4 linked regions of the Saccharomyces cerevisiae S288C genome follow. The gene in region 1 interacts genetically with each later gene. Each region holds a gene or a part of one and is shown in the gene's direction. Other genes may lie near its edges.

Region 1 (9,356 bases):
TTGGCCTACTTTTCCTCAGTTATATATCAATGGGGAGTTCCAGGGAGGTTTGGATATTATCAAGGAATCTATAGAAGAAGATCCTGAATATTTCCAACATGCTCTACAGTAAGCCTTATTTTGTAATGAAAACTATATTCATACATATATACATATTAATATATATGTATATATTTTTATTTATTAATTTATTCTAGAATGTAATGTGCATAGATTTGTGTGGAATATTTCCTGGGGTTTTCTCGTCAAATTTAAAGAGTAAAAAGTTAGAGTATTTCCAGATCTGAATCTGAAAGGGACTCACTGATAACTGGCGCTTTACGCGGCTGTCTCTGGGACAGAATTTCACATAGAGACTCGTCTTCGTCGCTTCTACCAAATGTTTCATTGCCAATATTATTGCTGTTATCGCTATCGCTATCGACAATAGGGTCATCATTAAAAGAAGTTTCTTCGTCTTCAAGATCGTCGTTAGCCATCATCACATTTCTTTCATATTGGTCAATCAACATGCGAAGCCTTCTGTCCCTTTCCTTTTTTTGATCCTCTAAATGGTCACAATTATTGCTATCATTATCCATCAATGGTGCTAGTCCATCCTCCACAGATAGTGCTTCGATAGGCCCGCCTATCCGATCCACAACGTCGATTCCGTTCTCAACTTTCATTATATCACTAAATTTGTCCATGGTTTGTTTGGGCCCCGAGGAGCCACTCGGAAGATTCTTCAAATAATAGAGAATGTATTTTTTTTTATAACTCTGACACTTTCTAATTAGAGGTGCGTAGTAGCCAAATTCTAGAGTTATATTCCTGAAAGAATGTACCGCGTTGTACTTATAAAGACTAACATTTAACCAATCTTCAGCTTGAACTTTAAATGAATTTTGTAATTTTCTTACTTTCCATTCTCTTGGAAAATAAACCGTTCCATGATTATGGCCTTGTTTACTGATGTTACGAAAGGTTTTGCGCACTTCTCGTAAACCATACTCATTGGATTCTGGTAGACCATTCATATTATCACACTCGCTCAGGCAATCCACAATTGATGATGCATCAGAAATGCTGAATTCGCCTTTATTAAATGTGTTATAGTTCTCTAATATTCCTAATTTGAAATCCTCTTTCGATAACAAATTGTTCGAATTTTCGAAGAGGTTATTAATCATTTCGTTATCGTTATTCGTGCTATGGGAACCATGTATCACCTTCCCAATGGCATGAAAGTATGATATGGTGGATTCTCGGGTTGAAATCGGCAAACTTCCACTTGATGTCGCCCAAAATTGAAGGGTCGTAATGGCCGACCTAATATCACCAGTCTCTTGCGCAATATAATCTATGACTTCCTGTCTTTTATTCCATTTATTTTTCTCCTTCAACATTTTCATATTCTGTACACAAATAAATTTCAAGTGCTTTTTTAATAAAGTGCTGTTAATTGGATTAAACTTAATTCTTTTCAACCTTGGATGCATCAATATTTCTTTGTTCATTATGGTTTCTGCACTAAATGTATAATCAATACCAAATTTGCGATAATTATTATCGTTCTCTGGAATTTCACATTCAGTTATACATATAACAAGGGGAGGTAATAGAGGCTCCGAACTATATAGCCACTGTAATATAAGTTGTTGAAATCGACGTCTGGTATCTATATGGAAGACGTTGGGAAGGTCCTCGATAAGTATTAATGACAGGTTGGACATCACAAGATACCGTGCGCCTTTTAAGAACTCACTAAAGCTTTCCATCTGAGGAAGATCGTTGACTATACAATCACCTCTAAACTCGGTCACTTTATGCTCGTTCGGGGTGCTTCGAAAGGACGTTCCGTTGCTGTTTTGTCTGTATTTAGGAACTAAGATTTTTGAGAGTTCTTTTATGACCGTACTTTTAGAGCATCCACTGGGGCCAGACAGTAGTAGGATCCTATGCTTGGCGTTAGGTAAAAACATGGCATCTAAAGCTTCTTGTACATCTTTAAGTTTTCTTTTATGTATGGCCACTTGCTCCAAACAATTGGGCTTGAACTTTTCGTACCACTGTTCACCGCCGTCGTCGTTGATACTTGGGAGGATACTAGACGTATCTTGCTTGGAAAGAAAGTCATTTTCAGTGCTTCTCGCCTTACGAACTGGCGAAGTCGGTCTAGATGAGCTCCATTTTGTTATTTGCGAGCCCAATGAACTGAGACTATATTGTAATAAGGGCCGTTTGTTCAAATTCGTACTATCCATATCATTCAGACAGGAACAAACTTGATAATTAGTGGTGTTGAATCAAGTACTATTAACGCATTGTGATGATCTCTCAGATATCAATGCGTGTTTGCTTCTTTGACGATCTAATATTGAATATTGTCGCTCTTTACGAGAATATTAAAAATTTATGCTACTAAAGCTATGTCTACTATAAAGGAATAATACACTAATAGAGATAATCTTGAGTAAAATAAGGTGAAGGTAAATATAAGTAATTGCTTTGGAAGATTTACCGTGAGCCTTCGTTATTAAAAATGACTGAGCATGAAACGAAGGATAAGGCCAAAAAAATTAGAGAAATTTATCGTTATGATGAGATGTCCAATAAGGTGTTGAAAGTTGATAAACGCTTTATGAATACCAGCCAAAATCCTCAAAGGGATGCGGAAATATCACAACCAAAATCCATGAGTGGTAGAATTAGTGCTAAGGATATGGGACAGGGCCTGTGCAATAACATTAATAAAGGACTAAAAGAAAATGATGTAGCCGTTGAAAAAACTGGAAAGAGCGCATCATTGAAAAAAATTCAGCAGCATAACACCATTTTGAATTCTTCCTCCGATTTCAGGTTACATTATTATCCAAAGGATCCCTCAAATGTCGAAACTTACGAGCAGATTTTGCAGTGGGTTACAGAAGTTTTAGGCAATGATATACCCCATGATCTTATTATTGGAACTGCTGATATATTCATCAGACAATTGAAAGAAAATGAGGAAAATGAGGATGGTAATATTGAAGAGCGAAAGGAAAAGATCCAGCATGAGCTAGGCATCAATATAGACTCCCTGAAGTTTAACGAATTAGTTAAACTTATGAAAAACATTACCGATTATGAAACACATCCTGACAATAGCAATAAACAAGCAGTAGCAATTCTTGCCGATGATGAAAAATCAGATGAAGAAGAAGTAACAGAAATGTCCAACAATGCTAATGTTCTTGGGGGAGAAATCAATGATAATGAAGATGATGATGAGGAATATGATTACAATGACGTTGAAGTCAATTCTAAAAAAAAAAACAAGAGGGCATTGCCAAACATTGAAAACGATATAATTAAACTCTCCGATAGTAAAACAAGTAATATCGAGAGCGTTCCGATATACTCAATCGATGAATTTTTTTTGCAGAGAAAACTTCGGTCAGAGCTTGGTTACAAGGATACCTCTGTAATACAAGACCTGTCAGAAAAAATTTTGAATGATATTGAAACACTTGAGCATAATCCAGTAGCGTTGGAGCAGAAGTTGGTTGATCTGCTTAAATTCGAGAATATATCACTGGCTGAATTTATTCTCAAGAATAGATCTACAATTTTTTGGGGCATACGACTGGCGAAGAGCACAGAGAATGAAATACCGAACTTAATAGAGAAAATGGTTGCAAAAGGTTTGAATGATCTTGTGGAACAGTATAAATTTAGAGAAACTACACACTCAAAGCGTGAACTCGATTCCGGTGACGACCAGCCACAGTCTTCGGAAGCAAAAAGAACAAAATTCAGTAATCCAGCAATACCGCCCGTCATAGATTTGGAAAAGATTAAATTCGACGAAAGTTCTAAATTAATGACCGTGACAAAAGTATCCCTACCGGAAGGATCATTCAAAAGGGTGAAACCACAATATGACGAAATACATATTCCAGCTCCTAGCAAACCTGTTATTGATTATGAGTTGAAAGAAATTACTTCTCTACCAGATTGGTGTCAGGAGGCGTTTCCTTCATCGGAAACAACGTCCTTAAACCCTATACAATCAAAGGTTTTTCACGCAGCATTTGAAGGTGATTCAAACATGCTAATATGTGCACCCACTGGTTCAGGTAAGACGAATATCGCGTTATTGACGGTATTGAAAGCCTTATCCCATCATTATAACCCGAAAACTAAGAAATTAAACCTTTCTGCATTTAAAATTGTTTATATAGCACCCTTGAAAGCCTTAGTACAGGAACAAGTCCGAGAATTTCAAAGGAGGTTGGCTTTTCTAGGTATAAAAGTCGCTGAATTGACTGGTGATTCTAGGCTTAGTAGAAAGCAAATTGACGAGACGCAGGTTTTGGTGTCTACGCCAGAGAAATGGGACATAACTACTAGAAATTCAAATAATTTGGCCATCGTAGAACTTGTTCGTTTGTTGATTATAGATGAAATACATTTGTTACATGATGACAGGGGACCAGTATTGGAAAGCATCGTGGCTAGGACATTTTGGGCTTCCAAATATGGCCAGGAATACCCCAGAATAATAGGCCTTTCTGCCACCTTACCAAATTATGAGGATGTCGGTAGGTTTTTAAGAGTTCCGAAGGAAGGATTGTTTTATTTTGACTCCTCATTTAGACCGTGTCCTCTATCTCAACAGTTTTGTGGCATTAAGGAACGGAACTCCTTGAAAAAGCTGAAGGCTATGAATGATGCTTGTTATGAAAAGGTATTGGAATCCATCAATGAAGGTAATCAAATAATCGTGTTTGTTCATTCTCGAAAAGAAACATCACGAACAGCAACATGGTTGAAAAATAAATTTGCTGAAGAGAACATTACTCATAAATTAACCAAAAATGATGCAGGATCGAAGCAGATTTTAAAGACAGAAGCAGCCAACGTACTCGATCCAAGTCTACGAAAGTTGATTGAAAGCGGTATAGGGACGCATCACGCAGGGCTGACCAGAAGTGACAGATCCTTATCTGAAGATTTATTTGCAGACGGGTTGTTGCAAGTATTGGTATGCACTGCGACGTTAGCATGGGGTGTTAATCTACCTGCTCATACAGTGATTATAAAAGGAACAGATGTCTATTCACCTGAAAAGGGGTCCTGGGAACAACTTTCTCCACAAGATGTACTTCAAATGTTAGGTAGAGCAGGCAGACCGAGATATGACACATTTGGCGAGGGTATTATAATAACAGACCAATCGAATGTTCAATATTATCTCTCGGTTTTAAATCAACAATTACCAATAGAATCGCAATTTGTTTCAAAATTAGTTGACAACTTAAATGCAGAAGTTGTCGCGGGTAACATTAAGTGCAGGAATGATGCTGTGAATTGGTTGGCGTATACTTACCTATATGTCAGAATGTTAGCTTCCCCTATGCTTTACAAAGTACCTGATATTTCAAGTGATGGGCAATTGAAAAAGTTTAGAGAAAGCTTAGTCCATTCGGCCCTATGCATTTTAAAAGAACAAGAGTTGGTGTTATATGATGCTGAAAATGATGTAATTGAGGCGACCGATCTAGGAAATATAGCGTCGTCATTTTACATAAATCATGCTTCCATGGATGTTTACAATAGAGAGTTAGATGAACATACAACTCAGATTGATCTTTTTAGAATATTCTCAATGTCGGAAGAGTTTAAGTACGTATCGGTGAGATATGAAGAGAAAAGAGAACTAAAACAACTTCTAGAGAAAGCACCCATTCCTATCAGAGAAGATATTGATGATCCTTTAGCAAAAGTGAATGTACTACTGCAGTCTTATTTTTCCCAGCTAAAGTTCGAAGGTTTTGCACTTAATTCTGATATAGTGTTTATTCACCAAAATGCTGGTAGGTTATTGCGTGCTATGTTTGAAATATGCTTGAAGAGAGGATGGGGACATCCCACACGGATGTTGTTAAATCTTTGCAAATCTGCCACAACTAAAATGTGGCCAACAAACTGTCCTTTAAGACAGTTTAAAACATGCCCTGTCGAAGTGATTAAAAGGCTGGAAGCCTCTACAGTACCGTGGGGAGATTATCTACAGCTAGAAACACCTGCCGAAGTTGGTCGTGCAATCAGATCTGAAAAATATGGAAAACAGGTTTACGATTTATTGAAAAGATTTCCCAAAATGTCCGTAACATGCAACGCTCAGCCAATTACCCGTAGCGTTATGAGGTTCAACATTGAAATAATAGCCGACTGGATATGGGATATGAATGTACACGGTTCCCTTGAACCTTTTTTGCTCATGCTAGAAGACACTGATGGTGATTCAATACTTTATTATGACGTACTATTCATCACTCCAGATATAGTTGGTCATGAATTTACCTTATCCTTTACTTATGAGTTAAAGCAGCACAATCAAAATAACTTACCACCTAATTTCTTCCTTACTTTGATATCAGAAAATTGGTGGCACAGTGAATTCGAGATTCCAGTTTCCTTCAATGGATTTAAACTTCCGAAAAAATTTCCTCCTCCTACTCCCCTTCTGGAGAATATTAGTATTTCAACATCAGAGCTTGGCAATGATGATTTTTCCGAAGTATTTGAATTTAAAACTTTCAACAAGATTCAGAGCCAGGTCTTCGAGTCTCTCTACAATTCGAATGACTCGGTCTTTGTAGGTTCAGGAAAGGGCACAGGTAAAACAGCTATGGCTGAATTAGCACTGTTAAATCATTGGAGACAGAATAAAGGAAGAGCGGTTTATATCAATCCGTCTGGGGAAAAAATTGATTTTTTGCTATCTGATTGGAATAAAAGGTTCTCTCATCTTGCTGGTGGTAAGATAATAAATAAGCTAGGAAATGATCCTTCACTAAATTTAAAATTATTAGCAAAAAGCCATGTTCTCTTGGCTACCCCCGTGCAATTTGAGCTTTTGTCACGTCGTTGGAGACAAAGGAAGAACATCCAAAGTTTAGAATTAATGATATATGATGACGCTCATGAGATTAGCCAAGGTGTTTACGGTGCTGTGTATGAAACGCTAATTTCTAGAATGATATTTATAGCAACCCAACTTGAAAAGAAAATTCGATTTGTTTGCCTTTCGAACTGTTTGGCAAATGCTCGTGATTTTGGTGAATGGGCTGGTATGACGAAGTCAAACATCTACAACTTTTCTCCAAGCGAAAGAATTGAGCCTCTTGAAATTAATATTCAGTCATTTAAAGATGTTGAGCACATATCATTCAATTTTTCGATGCTTCAAATGGCATTTGAAGCATCTGCTGCTGCAGCGGGAAATCGTAATTCCAGTTCGGTGTTCTTACCATCTAGAAAGGATTGTATGGAAGTTGCGTCTGCATTTATGAAGTTTTCAAAAGCAATTGAATGGGATATGTTGAACGTTGAAGAAGAGCAAATTGTACCATACATTGAAAAGTTAACAGATGGTCATCTAAGAGCACCTTTAAAACACGGTGTTGGTATTTTGTATAAGGGGATGGCATCAAATGATGAAAGAATTGTGAAAAGGTTATACGAATATGGTGCGGTATCGGTTTTACTCATTTCTAAGGATTGTTCTGCATTCGCTTGTAAAACTGATGAAGTGATTATTTTAGGAACCAACCTTTATGATGGTGCAGAGCATAAATATATGCCATATACCATAAATGAACTTCTAGAAATGGTGGGACTAGCTAGTGGTAACGATTCAATGGCAGGCAAGGTTTTAATTTTGACAAGTCACAACATGAAGGCCTACTACAAAAAATTCTTAATTGAGCCTTTGCCTACTGAGAGTTACCTACAGTATATTATTCATGATACTCTGAACAACGAGATAGCAAATTCTATTATACAAAGCAAACAAGATTGTGTTGACTGGTTTACATATTCGTATTTCTATCGTCGTATCCATGTGAATCCAAGCTATTATGGCGTAAGGGATACGTCTCCACATGGAATTTCAGTTTTTTTGAGTAATTTAGTTGAAACTTGTTTGAATGACTTAGTTGAATCATCCTTCATTGAAATTGACGATACAGAAGCTGAAGTAACCGCAGAAGTTAATGGAGGAGATGATGAAGCAACTGAAATCATTTCTACCTTGAGCAACGGGCTAATTGCTTCTCACTATGGCGTATCATTTTTTACTATTCAGTCATTCGTTTCTTCTTTATCGAATACGTCAACGCTCAAAAACATGCTGTATGTTCTTTCAACAGCAGTAGAATTCGAAAGTGTTCCACTCAGAAAAGGAGACAGAGCATTACTTGTCAAATTAAGTAAAAGACTACCATTGAGATTCCCTGAACACACCTCTTCTGGTTCGGTGAGCTTTAAAGTTTTCTTATTGTTACAAGCATATTTTTCACGTCTTGAATTACCTGTCGACTTTCAAAATGATTTAAAAGACATTCTAGAAAAGGTTGTTCCACTAATTAACGTAGTGGTTGATATCCTTTCAGCAAACGGGTATTTGAATGCTACTACCGCCATGGATTTGGCGCAGATGTTGATTCAGGGTGTATGGGACGTTGATAATCCGTTGAGACAGATTCCACACTTCAACAACAAAATTTTGGAAAAATGTAAAGAAATTAACGTCGAGACGGTCTATGATATAATGGCCCTTGAGGATGAAGAGAGGGATGAAATTTTAACGCTTACTGATTCACAGCTTGCGCAGGTCGCCGCGTTTGTTAACAATTACCCCAACGTTGAACTTACTTATTCGTTGAATAATTCTGATTCGTTAATTTCAGGTGTAAAACAGAAAATTACCATTCAATTGACAAGAGATGTTGAACCTGAGAACTTACAAGTAACATCTGAAAAGTATCCGTTTGATAAGCTAGAAAGTTGGTGGTTGGTTTTAGGTGAAGTATCTAAAAAAGAGCTTTATGCGATCAAGAAAGTTACTTTAAATAAAGAGACTCAGCAATATGAATTGGAATTTGACACTCCGACATCTGGTAAACATAACTTAACAATTTGGTGTGTCTGTGATTCATATCTTGACGCAGATAAAGAGTTGTCCTTTGAAATAAATGTGAAATAAAATCATTGTTTAGTCCTGGATAATCGAATGGATTTCAATATATAACATTCTCTTGCGGCTATTTAATCTAATTGTGATATATACAGTTTATAGCAAAAGCGTATCATTGCATCACTGCATTTCTATATCTTCATCTTCATCTTCATCCTGTTCTCCTTCTTTGTTTTCGTTTTCAATAAATCCACCTTGATCTTTTCTGCTATTCTGGTGCTTTATTAAATCTTCATAACTCCAAACAGATACACCCTCTTGGTCTTTAGGGTCTGTGGGTTGTGCCATTGTTCTCAAGAATTGTTTGGTATTGGATATGGCCATGTCAGTCGAAAGGTTCAAATCGGCG
Region 2 (5,960 bases), on another chromosome or scaffold:
GGAAGTTATATCGTAAGTGACCCTAGCAACCCCATCGACTTCATTGACAATTCTTGAGGCGACTTTCTTCAAGAAACTGTGTTCGAATGGGAACCAGTCAGCAGTCATGAAATCAGTAGTTTCAATGGCCCTCAAAGCAATAACTTGATCATAGGTTCTTTGGTCACCCATAACACCAACGGATTTAACGGGCAACAAACAGGCAAAGGCTTGGGAAATTTGGTTGTATAAGCCGGCCTTCTTGATTTCTTCAATGTAAATGTTGTCAGCTTTTCTTGCTATTTCGACTTGTTCCTTAGTAACTTCACCTAGAACACGAATAGCAATACCTGGACCAGGGAAAGGGTGTCTCCAGACTAGATCATGAGGGATTCCTAATAATTCACCTAGATGCCTGACTTCGTCTTTGAACAGTTCTCTCAATGGTTCAATTAGCTTTAATTTCATGTTCTCTAGTAAACCACCGACGTTGTGATGAGTTTTAATGGTTTGAGAAGGACCTTTGAAAGAAATGGATTCGATGACATCTGGATAAAGAGTACCTTGTAACAGGAATTGAATCTCCTTACCATCTTTTGGCTTAATTTTTTCAGCTTCTCTTTCAAAGACGTGGATAAATGTGTTACCAATAATCTTTCTCTTCTTTTCTGGGTCAGTGACACCCTTCAATTTACTTAAAAATTCTTCGGAAGCATCGACAACCATCAAGTTGATACCTAAACCTTCGACAAGGGTCTTTTTAACGTTAGCAGCTTCATTTAATCTCAAAACACCGTTATCGACCAAGATGGCATGGAATCTATCACCGATGGCTTCTGTCATCAATTTGGATGCAACAGTAGAATCAACACCACCGGAAACAGCACCAATGACTTCAGCAGTTGGACCGACCAGTTTTCTGATTCTGTTTATTTCAGTGTCGATAAAGTTTTCCATAGTCCAGTTTTGCTTAGCGTGACACAAATCAACGGCGAAGTTTTTCAAAAGAGTCTTACCTTGGGTAGAATGTGTAACTTCTGGGTGGAATTGAATACCATAGATTGGCTTAGTTTCGTGGACAATACCACAGTATGGGGAGTTATCGGAGGTGGCAATGGTCTTGTAACCAGTTGGCAAGCCGTGCAATTTATCACCGTGAGACATCCAGACAGTAGAGTCGTTCATACCTTTGAATAGAGAGTTGGAATCGTCAATCACCTTCAAAGTGGCAGGACCGTACTCTCTCTTGTCACCACGACCAACTTGTTTACCATTAATCCAAGCCAATTCTTGCATACCGTAACAGATACCCAGGATTGGAACGTTCAAATCAAAGATAGCATGGTCTACGTGTGGAGCGTCTTCAGCGTATACGGAATATGGACCACCAGAAAGAATGACACCCTTTGGAGTCCAGCCCAACTCAGAGATCTTCTGAGTGCATGGCAACATCTCAGCATAGATGTTAAACTCTCTTAATCTTCTGGTAATCAAATGAGAGTATTGAGAACCAAAGTCTAACACTAAGATAGTGTCAAACATGTTAGAAACTTGTTCACCGGCAGCCATTGTGAATATTGATGTCGTTAGTTTATTTTAGAATATAGATATTACCTACCAAATGACCCAGGGAAGTTAAACTACAACGAACGCAAGCTAATTAGAGACTACCGTGACCGAAACTATAACTCAACTAATGTTTTATAACTGTGAAATGAAAATGAAACTGAAAAAATGATAAAAAAAAGAAATATTTTTTCTCGATGCTCATCGCCAAAGAAAAAAAAAATTTTCATTTCCTGCAAGCAAGAAAAAGAAATGACGGCATGAAAAGAGTCAAAATGTCGGGAACCGAAGCCATTGTAGGGGAGCGAGAGGATGAAAGCATATTCCTGTCACCAACGTCACGAAGAAATGAGTCGGCTACTTGACAACCTTGTTTTTTCGCTGTTAAACATAATTAAAGGTTCTATTTGGCAACACCTCATAATTATATCACTATCCACGTGATATTAAATCGTTACGGACGAGCCTATATTATTTCCGGATTTTTTTCTAATTTCTTTTTCTATTTTTCTAAATCTTATCGTCGTTATTTATTTGAAAGAGAATAAACAATGAGTGTGGGCTATGAAAGAGCTATAGAGAAGTCACAGGATATAGAGGGATCTATTTGTAGCTGGCAAGTTAATAGAGATTGGAAAACTGATTCAAAATTGTTAGATCACCTGGCGCTGAGAAATAATTGTGTTTTTTGGTATAAATAGACACCCCCTTTTGAGGTTGAAGAGATAGAGTAAAGAAGAAGTGTAGACATTAATGGGTTCATCAATTAACTATCCTGGGTTTGTGACTAAAAGCGCTCATTTGGCTGACACTAGTACGGATGCGAGCATTTCATGTGAGGAAGCAACAAGCTCGCAGGAAGCGAAGAAGAATTTCTTTCAAAGGGATTATAACATGATGAAGAAGGCGCCTGCTCCAACGAAGTCTAAACTGTCTTTGGCCTTGCAGACTTCCAAGTCATCCTCTAGTGCCAACGGTACTGTACAAGAGGATACTTCCTCGAAGACAGAAGATTTTTCTACAAAGAGCATTAAGAAAAAACCAGATAGCGGCGTTGAATCGCATGTGTCCATCCAATCGGATTCGGGGCCACAATCAGACTCAGATTTGGATTCAGATTCCTCTATCTCATCATGTGACGAAAGGAACGAAGAGTCTTTGAAAGATTACAGGCCGGGTGGGTACCACCCTGCCTTTAAGGGCGAGCCCTATAAGGATGCACGCTACATTTTAGTAAGAAAGCTGGGATGGGGCCACTTCTCCACCGTTTGGTTGGCAAAGGATATGGTAAACAACACTCACGTTGCTATGAAGATTGTTCGGGGCGACAAAGTTTACACAGAAGCTGCTGAAGACGAAATTAAGCTTTTGCAAAGAGTGAATGACGCCGATAATACAAAGGAGGATTCCATGGGGGCTAATCATATTTTGAAATTGCTAGATCATTTCAACCATAAGGGCCCCAATGGCGTCCATGTGGTTATGGTATTTGAAGTCCTCGGCGAGAACTTACTGGCTTTGATAAAGAAGTATGAACATAGGGGCATTCCATTGATTTATGTCAAGCAAATATCGAAGCAGTTACTGCTTGGTCTTGATTACATGCATAGGCGGTGTGGTATTATACACACAGATATTAAACCAGAAAACGTGTTGATGGAGATTGGAGATGTTGAGGGTATCGTTCAAATGGTCGAGGCACTGGATAAACAGAAGAGAGAGGCAAAAAGGTTGCAGAGGCACGTTTCGCGGTCTTCTGATATTACCGCGAACGATAGCAGTGATGAGAAATGGGCAGAATGCCAAACAAGTATGCCCTGCGGCTCAAGCTCAAATTCCAAATCTCGTTCTATAGAGAAGGACTTGTCAAAAAGATGCTTTAGAAGACCTAGACGTCATACAATTATCACAGGGTCGCAACCATTACCTTCCCCAATTAGTTCATCAAATTTCTTTGAAATGAGGGCGCACTTTTGTGGTAGTAGTCACAATAGCTTTTCCTCCGTATCTGGGAATAGGAACATTCCATCTTCCATCAATAATAACAGTATTAATAATGGCATAGGCATTAAGAATAGCAACAATAGTTTCTTAAATTCAGTACCACATTCTGTGACCAGGATGTTCATAAATGAAGACAGTAATGATAACAACAATAATGATAATAGTAAAAATAAAAATAACAACAATAACAACAGTAACAACAATAATAACGAGGACATAATGAACACACCTTTGCATGAAGAGCAGCTGGCAGACTCTTTATCTACATTTGATATTTCCAATATATCACAAAGCTCCGATACAAATGGTCCATATATTTCTAATACTATGGATTCAAATTCAAACGTCAGTACCGATATCAACTCCCCAGAAAATTTGATTCAGATCAAGATTGCTGATTTAGGTAATGCTTGTTGGTATGACGAACATTACACGAATTCTATACAGACAAGAGAATACAGATCACCAGAGGTGTTACTAGGCGCCCCTTGGGGTTGTGGTGCAGATATATGGTCTACTGCTTGTCTAATTTTTGAATTGATTACCGGAGATTTTCTTTTCGAACCGGACGAAGGTCATTCCTACACTAAGGATGATGACCATATTGCACAAATCATCGAGTTATTGGGAGAATTACCATCATACCTTTTGAGGAACGGCAAATATACAAGAACTTTCTTCAATTCAAGAGGGCTTTTAAGAAATATCTCGAAATTGAAATTTTGGCCCTTAGAAGATGTTTTAACTGAAAAATATAAGTTTTCTAAGGACGAAGCCAAGGAAATATCTGATTTTTTGTCGCCTATGTTACAGCTAGACCCAAGGAAAAGAGCTGATGCAGGTGGCTTGGTTAACCATCCATGGCTCAAGGATACCTTGGGTATGGAAGAGATTCGGGTACCTGATAGAGAGTTGTACGGGAGTGGTTCCGATATCCCCGGATGGTTTGAAGAAGTCCGCGATCATAAAAGACATTGATTACCTTTATACCTTTATTTTGCCCTTGCCTTTTACTTTTTTTTCTGTTTAACCTCTTTTTTGCATACTTTAGTTCTCTGCTCAGTTGTTTATTTTTCAGTAGTTTTTTTGCAATTTTTTTTTTTTTTTTTACCAAAGTAAATTTGTAACACCTAGTATAATATTCTGAAGTAACAACAAAAGATTATGCTGATTCTCCTTTCTTTTATCTTTAGCGGTTTTTGAATCCATACTCGACATTTTTTGATTTTATTTTTTGCACCCAATGGTTGTCCTGGTGAAGGATGATGGGTGTGATACCTAAGCGTTTTTGATGAAAAGTTTACTATTTAAAAACATATAAATTGTTTTACATATGTTAAGATAAAAGAACACAAAAAAATAAAACGGTTGAAAACGAAAACAAGTCCATGGATGTTTCAAAAAAATACATGAGCAGCTCAGAGTAGAGCAGAAATCAGACCTGCAAATAATGCAAGGTATCCAGACTGACTAAAGGAAACATTAACAATATTTCCGACGCCTTTACTTTTGGAGCTGCTTGAAGCTGAAGATGAACCGGTGCTTGAAGATGAGCCAGTGCTTGAAGATGGACTGGTGCTTGAAGTTAAGGAGCGAGAAGATGATTGTGATGTGGAAGCTGACTTTGCGACCGTTGTGGCTGTGACGTCTAGTTCGTTCAGTGAGTTAGCTTTGTCGTATGAAATAGTAGCTGAAATGGTATCATCTTTATTGTTTTTAATTGTATAGTTAAAAGTAGTTGGAACAGCATAATCAGTCAATATCTTACCGGTGTTGGTGCCATTAACACCGTATTCAATCATATTGGCAATTTCTGCTGGTTGAGAAGGCAAAGTGAAATTGTTCGTTCCAAAGCCAGAATAAATATTGGTGATGGCACTGTTATCGCACTTGTAGATAGAGTCAGAAGATATTTCGCTTTCTTTTGTTGTTGGCAATGAAACGTTCTTCAATTGTGATTCTAAATTAACAAAATCATCCTTATAAGTTAAAGAACCGCTATCATCAAGCTTAACCAAACCGTAATTATTAGCTTCTTCAGTGTATTCGTATACCAACCCACCAGAGAAGACGTTCTTTAAACCACCATACAAACCCTCAGAGACTTCGTCAAAAGTTCTTGGTGTATTTTTGTTGCAACCATACTCAGAAAATATCAACGGAATAACAGCATCTTCGAAAGTTGAGTTTAACTTGTCATAGCCAGAAGATTCCCAACTAGAAGTGCCAGAGCACCATTCATAAGTATTTAGGCCAAAGAAATCAGATTTAGATATGTCCAAATCATCATTGACTTTGTTTCCATCCAACGAATTACACTGCAAGTACTTGAAGGTTGCTAACCTCAAATCAGTATTGTCAGCAGCAGAATATCCGACTGGGATGCTTCTGTTCGCATGTTTTGAAATATA
Region 3 (4,668 bases), on another chromosome or scaffold:
TTAATGATTAGTCCTCATTGTCATAATAAAGTGTGATGATGGAGGCAATGATGATATACGGTAGTACTACTGCTCGAGGTGCTATCTTTTAACCAATCCTTTGAGATTCTTGTCGCCACGGAGTTACTACCTTTTACAAACCGTAATGTCACATTTTGCATATATCTTATGTATAAATATATAGTTCACTTACTACTTGTTCTCGTTTTGTTAACTTTCTTGTTGTAGTTCTTCTTGTTCTTGGCGTTTCCCCCTTTGTTTTCTATCTGCTTCATAAGTAAAGTGCAAAGCATTTTGGAAGATATTATCAATTGAGTCATTGAAAGAAACTTGGCATCTTCCCTATTACTAAAACTAAGAATACTTGATTCAAGAAAGAAGTTTATATTAGTTTTAGCCGTAAGATAACATAACAAAGAAGAAGAAAGAAAAATGTCTCAAAAAAAGAAGGCTTCCCATCCAGCCATCAATCTCATGGCTGGCGGCACAGCAGGTTTATTTGAAGCATTGTGTTGTCATCCTTTAGATACAATTAAGGTGAGAATGCAAATATACAGACGGGTAGCTGGTATTGAACATGTTAAACCCCCAGGATTTATTAAAACTGGGCGTACCATTTATCAAAAAGAAGGTTTCTTGGCTCTGTATAAAGGTCTAGGTGCTGTGGTCATCGGTATTATACCTAAGATGGCAATCCGTTTCTCGTCTTATGAATTCTATAGAACCTTATTGGTTAACAAGGAATCAGGAATTGTGTCTACCGGTAATACTTTTGTTGCTGGTGTTGGGGCTGGTATCACCGAAGCTGTTCTTGTCGTGAACCCGATGGAAGTTGTAAAGATTAGGTTACAAGCTCAGCATTTAACTCCGAGTGAGCCAAATGCTGGTCCTAAATATAACAACGCCATTCATGCAGCCTACACTATTGTCAAAGAAGAAGGTGTTTCTGCCTTATATAGAGGCGTTTCCTTAACTGCGGCAAGGCAAGCAACTAATCAGGGTGCTAACTTCACAGTTTATTCTAAACTGAAGGAGTTTTTGCAGAATTACCATCAGATGGATGTCCTACCTTCATGGGAAACTTCTTGCATAGGTTTGATTTCGGGTGCTATTGGGCCGTTTTCCAACGCTCCATTGGATACTATAAAGACAAGGCTGCAAAAGGATAAGTCCATCTCATTGGAAAAACAGTCCGGTATGAAGAAAATCATAACCATTGGTGCTCAACTACTGAAAGAAGAAGGTTTTAGAGCTTTGTACAAGGGTATTACCCCAAGAGTGATGAGGGTGGCTCCAGGTCAGGCTGTCACCTTTACCGTTTATGAATATGTAAGGGAGCATTTAGAAAATTTGGGTATATTCAAGAAGAATGACACACCAAAGCCAAAGCCATTAAAGTAGATGATGAACAATGGGACTACAAAATGAAATAAAGAAAAAATAGAAATAGGCTAGAAGATCAATTATTAATCGCCCTATTCTTCCTTATTACCTACACAAAATAAAGCAGCAACATAAGAAACAAAAACAAAATGAAAACAAACCAAATAAATCTATGTAAGCATACTCATTTCAATTTGATATTCATTACTTGACTTTTTTGTCCTTATTTGAGGCTCCATAAGCGCGCCATTTTTCCCTACTCCCTTTTTTCGTAAATAGTAATAATGTGCTGAAAAGAACAATGAAGTAGTTATCATACATATTCCGTCGTGTCGATATGAGGGGAGGTGTCTCTTTCTTTCATCCCTTGTCGCAACCTCCAATATATAAGAGCATAAGCAACTGATCTTACTTTAGTAATTAACTTAGCATACCTAGCCCGAAGGAAGAAAAAAAATTCACCTCAACAACATGGTTCCTAAGTTTTACAAACTTTCAAACGGCTTCAAAATCCCAAGCATTGCTTTGGGAACCTACGATATTCCAAGATCGCAAACAGCCGAAATTGTGTATGAAGGTGTCAAGTGCGGCTACCGTCATTTCGATACTGCTGTTCTTTATGGTAATGAGAAGGAAGTTGGCGATGGTATCATTAAATGGTTGAACGAAGATCCAGGGAACCATAAACGTGAGGAAATCTTCTACACTACTAAATTATGGAATTCGCAAAACGGATATAAAAGAGCTAAAGCTGCCATTCGGCAATGTTTGAATGAAGTCTCGGGCTTGCAATACATCGATCTTCTTTTGATTCATTCGCCACTGGAAGGTTCTAAATTAAGGTTGGAAACTTGGCGCGCCATGCAAGAAGCGGTTGATGAAGGATTGGTTAAGTCTATAGGGGTTTCCAACTATGGGAAAAAGCACATTGATGAACTTTTGAACTGGCCAGAACTGAAGCACAAGCCAGTGGTCAACCAAATCGAGATATCACCTTGGATTATGAGACAAGAATTAGCAGATTACTGTAAATCTAAAGGTCTCGTCGTCGAAGCCTTTGCCCCATTGTGTCACGGCTACAAAATGACTAATCCAGATTTATTAAAAGTTTGCAAAGAGGTGGACCGTAATCCAGGTCAAGTTTTGATTCGTTGGTCTTTACAACACGGTTATTTACCACTACCGAAGACTAAAACTGTGAAGAGGTTAGAAGGTAACCTTGCAGCCTACAACTTTGAACTGTCAGACGAACAGATGAAATTTCTTGATCATCCTGATGCTTATGAGCCTACCGATTGGGAATGCACAGACGCGCCATAAAAAGAAAATGCGAACCGTAGAATAACGTATATAGAACATATAATTAGTTTACGTTTCACAAAGTATTAATATTACATGTAGCTTTTTCAGGACTTTCGATCTAAATCAAAGATTAAAGGAGCTGCTAGAGGTAGAAAAGGAAATCATTGACTTTTCTTGAAGATTTATGAGCGGGTAACTGGAGATGGAAATTTTCAGAAAAATTGTAAATGGATGCGATGACTTCGATGTGACGTTACTAGTCTTACCATTGTAAAAACCACTATCGGTGCCAAAAGATAAGCGCAATCAACTAAGAAATTTACCACGCTCTTTGTATTGTATTTATCTCCAATTTAATCTTTCTTTTGGTGTGAAAATTTAGCGAAAATGTCATTGGTGAATTCGTTAACACACTACGAAATTTTAAGAATTCCATCGGATGCAACACAAGATGAAATCAAAAAGGCATATAGGAATCGGTTACTAAATACGCACCCCGATAAACTTTCTAAAAGCATACATGATACGGTTAGCAACGTCACAATCAATAAGATTCAAGATGCTTATAAAATACTATCGAATATAAAAACTCGTCGCGAATATGATAGGTTGATCCTTGAAAACTATAAACGCCAAGGATTTCATAATTGTGGTGATGGGCTGGATGAATTTTCCTTAGACGATTTCTCATTTGATGAAGATAAGCTGGAGTTTATGATGAATTGTCCTCGCTGTCAATTTGTTGGTGGTTTTCATTTTAGTGAGAGTTTGTTAGATGAATGCATTGATAATGTAGACGCTATGGAACGGAGTCATTCTGGTTATCAATTATTAACCCAATGTAGCGCATGCAGCTTATGGCTGAAGGTTAATTTTGACATCGAGGAAGAGCAAGAAGGACAATAATGAAAATGGGAGGGGAAATTGAGCATATCAGATAAATCTGTTTATAGAATTATTATTTTACTTCGTGGGAAATCGAATGGTGTATATAAAAGAGGTTGTAAAATTGACGAAATAAATAGTATTTAGGCAACTAAAGATAAAAAAATATTATTTATTTTTATTCGCGGTGCGTTGCCAGATTTTTTTTGACATGCGGAATTTTGGTAAAAAGAAAAATGCAGATATGAATAGTAAACAAAGGAATAAAAAGCCTTTCATGAAGAAGTTCGTGTTCGAGATCTTCTTCCTTCTTTTTCGCTGTCGACGATAGATATGAATGCTTTTGCCATTGATTTCAAATCCGTCATTAAGCTAACATGACCTGAAGAACTGGCGATTTTACAAACAACTGGAAAGCCTCTCTGTTCAGGCAATAACCATTTATGGTGAACAACACCGTCGCCCGGACCATAGTAAAAATCTTCATAATTCCCATCTTTTATATCTTGTATACCGTTCACTTTAGCACCTCTAACAGTGGGAACCTTGTTACCGTAAACCATGGCCAATGGAGGATATTCTTTGTTCGGGTCGTAATCTAAGCTATCCAAATAATTCTTTGTACGTTTTAAAGTTCTCGCTAAATATTCACAGCTATCTTCATAAGATGTATGGAAGACTTCATCGAAAGGCACATCCCTTGGTACCTGTTTATTATTGCCGGCTACATTCCTAACAACAGGTGCATTTAGGACAAACTTGGTAGTTGCGTTTAGGGTAGCTTTAAGCGAAAGCGCTGATTTCGTTTTCCTTGGTAATAATTTTGATTTTTCGTGAGCTGATTCCTCTCTTTTCTCATTGACGAGAGGTGACAAGCCAAGGGTTTTCCAAACATCTGTATCAAAAAAATCGAAATCATACCTCTCTAAGGTAATTTTGTCAACAAAACATCTACCATCTAACGGTAGAAAATAGAAACTACTTCTCATAAAAAAGTTGGTTTCTTTAGTGAAAATAGTTTTATTCCACATCACATCATCTCCAAACCTAATAGGACCTAAAATATTTGGACATTGGCTTGGGGAACCCACGTAAATA
Region 4 (4,177 bases), on another chromosome or scaffold:
AACAGATCAAACATCGGTAGTTTCACAGAATCTCTACCGGCAAATCCTTTAATTAGAATTTTCTCATAGTTATCTGCACACTCTTGAGGGTCGTTAATCAATGACTCATCAATGTGATAAATTTTCGGAGTTCCGTACTTCTCCGTATCTATTAAATCGAATATTTTTCTCTTAGCAAGACCGTAATTGCTTTCACTGGAGCTAAAGGGCACTAGTCTTTCATCAGCAAAGTAAATGTCCCATTTACCCCATTGAACGTCGTCTCTTTTCAACAATCCTTCGTGCAACACTTGGATTAACGAACCACCGGACAACGCAATCTTGAAGCGCCTTTCTTTCTCCTTTTTCAATTTCTTAGTGGCGCCGTCTTCACTACCACCACGGCTGGAGGCATTACTCCTTACAGAATTTACTCTCTCCATCGTTTTGGATTCTGTGTTACCATTTCCGTTAAGGCTCGTTCCGGACATCTGTGTGGACCTTGAGACTTTGCCCTTCTTAAGGGCAGAGTTTTGTGCGTGAATAACATGATCGGCAACTGCCTCAGCTACTCCTGCAAATTCATGGAATGCAAACACTTTAGGTACGGTTGTTGTCATCTTGCAAAAAATTATTCCAGTTAAAATCTATTTTCTCGGGCCTCTTTTATGTACTAAAATGTTATAATATCTATTATCTTATGGTTTGAAAGAATTCTGCTCCGTCAAGCATACATTATAACCTATTGATAAGTAAATTGGAAGGAAAGTCTTCCCTAAATGACCATGCTTTAACTTTTTTCCAATATCCTTTTCCAGGGTTTTCCACGGCACAAAACGTCATTTTCCTAAAGCGAAAAAAAAAAAAAATTCTGCATCGTACAAGAATAGTATATTATTCTAAAGAAAATGTTTGCATACATATCTAATAATATACAAATATCTACATGAAAATTTGTAAGTTGCTCTCCAACTTGTTGTACATTTCCTCTAGTTCGCCATCTAGTGTGCTTAAGACTGTTATGGCCCCCCCTGCACCGAGTTGCCAGCTGGTTCCGCCGTTGTAGGAATACATACATCTAATGTTAACAGACCAATCTCCGTTGGAATTCACAGACCAATATCCCGTGACACCGCTGTAAACACCACGTGCTCCACCATTGACATGTTTGTTTAGCTTGCTTTCTATCTTGTCCTGCAATAATTGCACAGTAATCTTCTTGGGGGCTCCCGTCATAGATCCCGGAGGAAGCGAGTGTTTAAGGACATCAATGCCTGAATATCTCGTCTTCTTACTGGCAGAGGTCAATCCATGTGCCTTTACGACGCTAACGAGTTGGTAAACGGTGGCATATTCTTGCACGGACATGAACTCCTCCACCCGAACGTCAGGAACCAACTCGTAAAGGTCATTTCTGATTAAGTCCAAAATCATTAAGTTCTCACCAAATTCTTTTGGTGTCTTCAGGATTCGTGTGGCTTTTGCCAAGTTCATTTGCGGTCCTTTTTTCACAGTTCCCTTGATGGGACGTAGCTCGCATGTGTCTGCATCCCACTTCAAAAACCTTTCTGGAGAAGTACTTAAGAAGCACAAAACTGGAGGCGTTTCATCTTGGCGGGGAATAATGTCTTTAAACTCAAAAAAACTTGAAAATGGAGCCGGGTTTCTTTGTACCAAGGTCTGGAAAATCCTCCAGGGTTCTATCACCGCAGATGGTACAACTTTGGTTTGCGTTGTGAGACACATTTCATAAGAATCACCCTTATGCATATAATCCTGACATTTCTTAAACGCCTTAGCGTAGTCAAGTTTATCGGGCATAGTTATAATGAAGTCTATCTCCTCTGGAAGATACTTGGGCCAGGACAGGGATTGCTTAATATTCTTCTTTCTAACAAAACTGTCCCTTAATGATTGTTCTAATGCCACTGGAAATGTATTATCCAGAGAAATACAATAAAGCTTCCCTTGCTTGTGATTAATGACTATACTATTGTTGATAAAAACTAGTTTGGCGTCGGGAACAAGGGAATTCTCATCATCATTGCAACGGCCGCATGCAATGTACTGACCTATTTCATAACCTAAAATGCCAACAAGACCTCCAATAAAAGGTATTTCTCTGTGGTTATCGATTATTTTATTCTCCATAAATTTACCCAAAGTGATCCAAAATTGGGATTTATCTTCATGTATTACCTCAAGGGAGCCAGGCAAATCCGAATCTTGACCATCTAGACACTTTTTCAACAAGGTGTAACTAATTTCACTATCTTGCCAATAATGAACTGTAGTCTTTTTCATAGCTCCATAATGAGTGAATACCTGGGATGCGGAGTTTGGTAAAGCAATGATAGACCATTCACCCGTATTTTCACTAATCACAGAAGATGACATGACAAATTTTTCTTCTCGTATGATGTTGCAAATTTCAAATGTCAATTTCGGGTCTTCAGAGACCTCGAACTGCTTAACGTAAGTTGTGTCCTCGCCCTTCGGATATTTCTCTTTTACCTTGTATATGGGGTCTCTATCAATAGTCCTATCCAATCGAGATAGGATATCGGAAAACTCTCCATTAAGTTTCTTCTTTTCCCACCTTCCTGTCTTCACGTTATTTATGAAACTCAACTTGAGAAAGTTACTGACTAACAGCCCCCCCAATTCTGAACAACATGACTCCGGGTGGTACTGTACGCCAAACCATGGCTTATTTTTCGTTTGAGCACTCATCAAAAGAATACCGTTCTCATCTTCGGTTGTGCATAAGGGCAAAAGGGTGTCAATGCCTTCGGCATTGACATGCAATGAATGGTACCTCGTAGATTTGAACGTATCGGGATAACCAGAAAAAAGGCCACAAGCTCTGGCTGCATCGTTTAAATGCATTTCATACACTTGCCCATGCTTGATAGTATTTAGCTCACTGACATCAGCACCTTGAGCCAAGCACATTGCTTGGAACCCAAGACATATACCCAATATTGGAACTTCATCTAACTTTCCATTGGCATTCTCGAAAAGCTCAGATATTATACCCATATCTTGTGCACCATTGTTGGGATTCCCAGGTCCTGGGCCAACAACGATAGCATCAAAAAGCGGCAAAAGTGGCAATAGCTGATCCATAGATTGGAACGTATCACTATGTACCGTCGTCACGTGCACGGCGTTGACTCCCGGTGAGATATCAGTTTGTTGTTCAATTAGTCTCACTACATTGTAGGTGAATGAATCATAAGAGTCTATGAACAGGACATGAAGCTGTTGCTGTTGTTGCTTTGTGTCAATTGTATCGGACAGCATTCCTTTATCCCCCTTGTGAAATCTCGAAAGGTCATCGTGTAAAAGTTCTACGGGAGACTTGCTTGTTTTTATATATTCGCGGTTTTGGCTGAGAGAGATGAGGAGGGAGAGGAAAAGATTGAGAAAGAGGAGCGGTGGCAAAGCTTAGATTGCAAATAAATACTCTGAAAATGATTGAGGTAGTTGTGAATGACCGATTAGGCAAAAAAGTCAGAGTGAAGTGCCTTGCTGAAGATAGTGTAGGTGATTTCAAAAAAGTATTGTCCTTGCAAATTGGCACCCAACCAAACAAAATTGTGTTGCAGAAGGGTGGAAGTGTTTTAAAAGACCATATCTCTCTGGAAGATTATGAGGTACATGATCAGACAAATTTGGAGCTGTATTACCTGTAGAAAATGCGCTGTTTTTTTTTTTTTGATCTAAATACACAATACATACATTTGCAACCGAGAGAGATAGAATATGTAGAAATAATAAGATGGCGTTGTCTCTATAATGCTTTTCTATTGTTTAGTAAGCTACAAGAAGTAATCAACATGTCTGTTAGAAGCAGATCTGGCTTGGTATACATCTGAAAATATGTACATTTCAGGGTCCGTGGAGCCATCTGCGGAGGCAGAGTCGTCTTCGAAATAATCTGCAATCAATTTCCTGTTGGCTACCGGATTAGATATGCTATCTTCTAAGGCATTGTCGTTCATACTGTTCTCTTTCAACAGTTTATTTTCAGGTGCCTCTTCGAAAACGTTGAAGTAGAATTGATCTTTACTATACAGCTCCAGAATAGATGCTTTATTGCCGCACCGATAACAATAGTTTGGCGCCGACCATACAGTAGTAACCAATCCATCAAAATATATCTGGTAACCTTCGTTACATAACTGATGGGCTC

What was found.
Region 2: mutations in BRR2 (region 1) and SKY1 impair growth when combined (synthetic growth defect), as found in Saccharomyces cerevisiae (2 studies listed by BioGRID, with this or other methods).
Region 3: mutations in BRR2 (region 1) and JJJ3 impair growth when combined (synthetic growth defect), as found in Saccharomyces cerevisiae (2 studies listed by BioGRID, with this or other methods).
Region 4: mutations in BRR2 (region 1) and HUB1 impair growth when combined (synthetic growth defect), as found in Saccharomyces cerevisiae (2 studies listed by BioGRID).

What each region holds. Positions count from the first base shown.
Region 1 is NC_001137.3:529,190-538,545, reverse strand, and holds BRR2 (ATP-dependent RNA helicase BRR2), read left to right. Parts: upstream 1-2,524; coding exon 2,525-9,016; downstream 9,017-9,356. Other genes in the region: monothiol glutaredoxin GRX4, read left to right, coding at 1-112; RAD24 (Rad24p), read right to left, coding at 267-2,246; TFIIH/NER complex ATP-dependent 5'-3' DNA helicase subunit RAD3, read right to left, coding at 9,128-9,356.
Region 2 is NC_001145.3:697,378-703,337, reverse strand, and holds SKY1 (serine/threonine protein kinase SKY1), read left to right. Parts: upstream 1-2,298; coding exon 2,299-4,527; downstream 4,528-5,960. Other genes in the region: GUA1 (GMP synthase (glutamine-hydrolyzing)), read right to left, coding at 1-1,548; GAS3 (putative 1,3-beta-glucanosyltransferase), read right to left, coding at 4,968-5,960. UniProt on the Saccharomyces cerevisiae protein: Constitutively active kinase, specifically and sequentially phosphorylates serine/arginine (SR)-type shuttling mRNA binding proteins in their RS dipeptide repeats.
Region 3 is NC_001142.9:609,341-614,008, forward strand, and holds JJJ3 (Jjj3p), read left to right. Parts: upstream 1-3,072; coding exon 3,073-3,591; downstream 3,592-4,668. Other genes in the region: SFC1 (Sfc1p), read left to right, coding at 433-1,401; YJR096W (aldo-keto reductase superfamily protein), read left to right, coding at 1,855-2,703; YJR098C (uncharacterized protein), read right to left, coding at 3,846-4,668.
Region 4 is NC_001146.8:686,743-690,919, reverse strand, and holds HUB1 (ubiquitin-like protein HUB1), read left to right. Parts: upstream 1-3,455; coding exon 3,456-3,677; downstream 3,678-4,177. Other genes in the region: SOL1 (Sol1p), read right to left, coding at 1-599; ABZ1 (4-amino-4-deoxychorismate synthase), read right to left, coding at 922-3,285; putative serine/threonine-protein kinase PPG1, read right to left, coding at 3,804-4,177. UniProt on the Saccharomyces cerevisiae protein: Forms conjugate with SPH1 and HBT1. Involved in morphogenesis.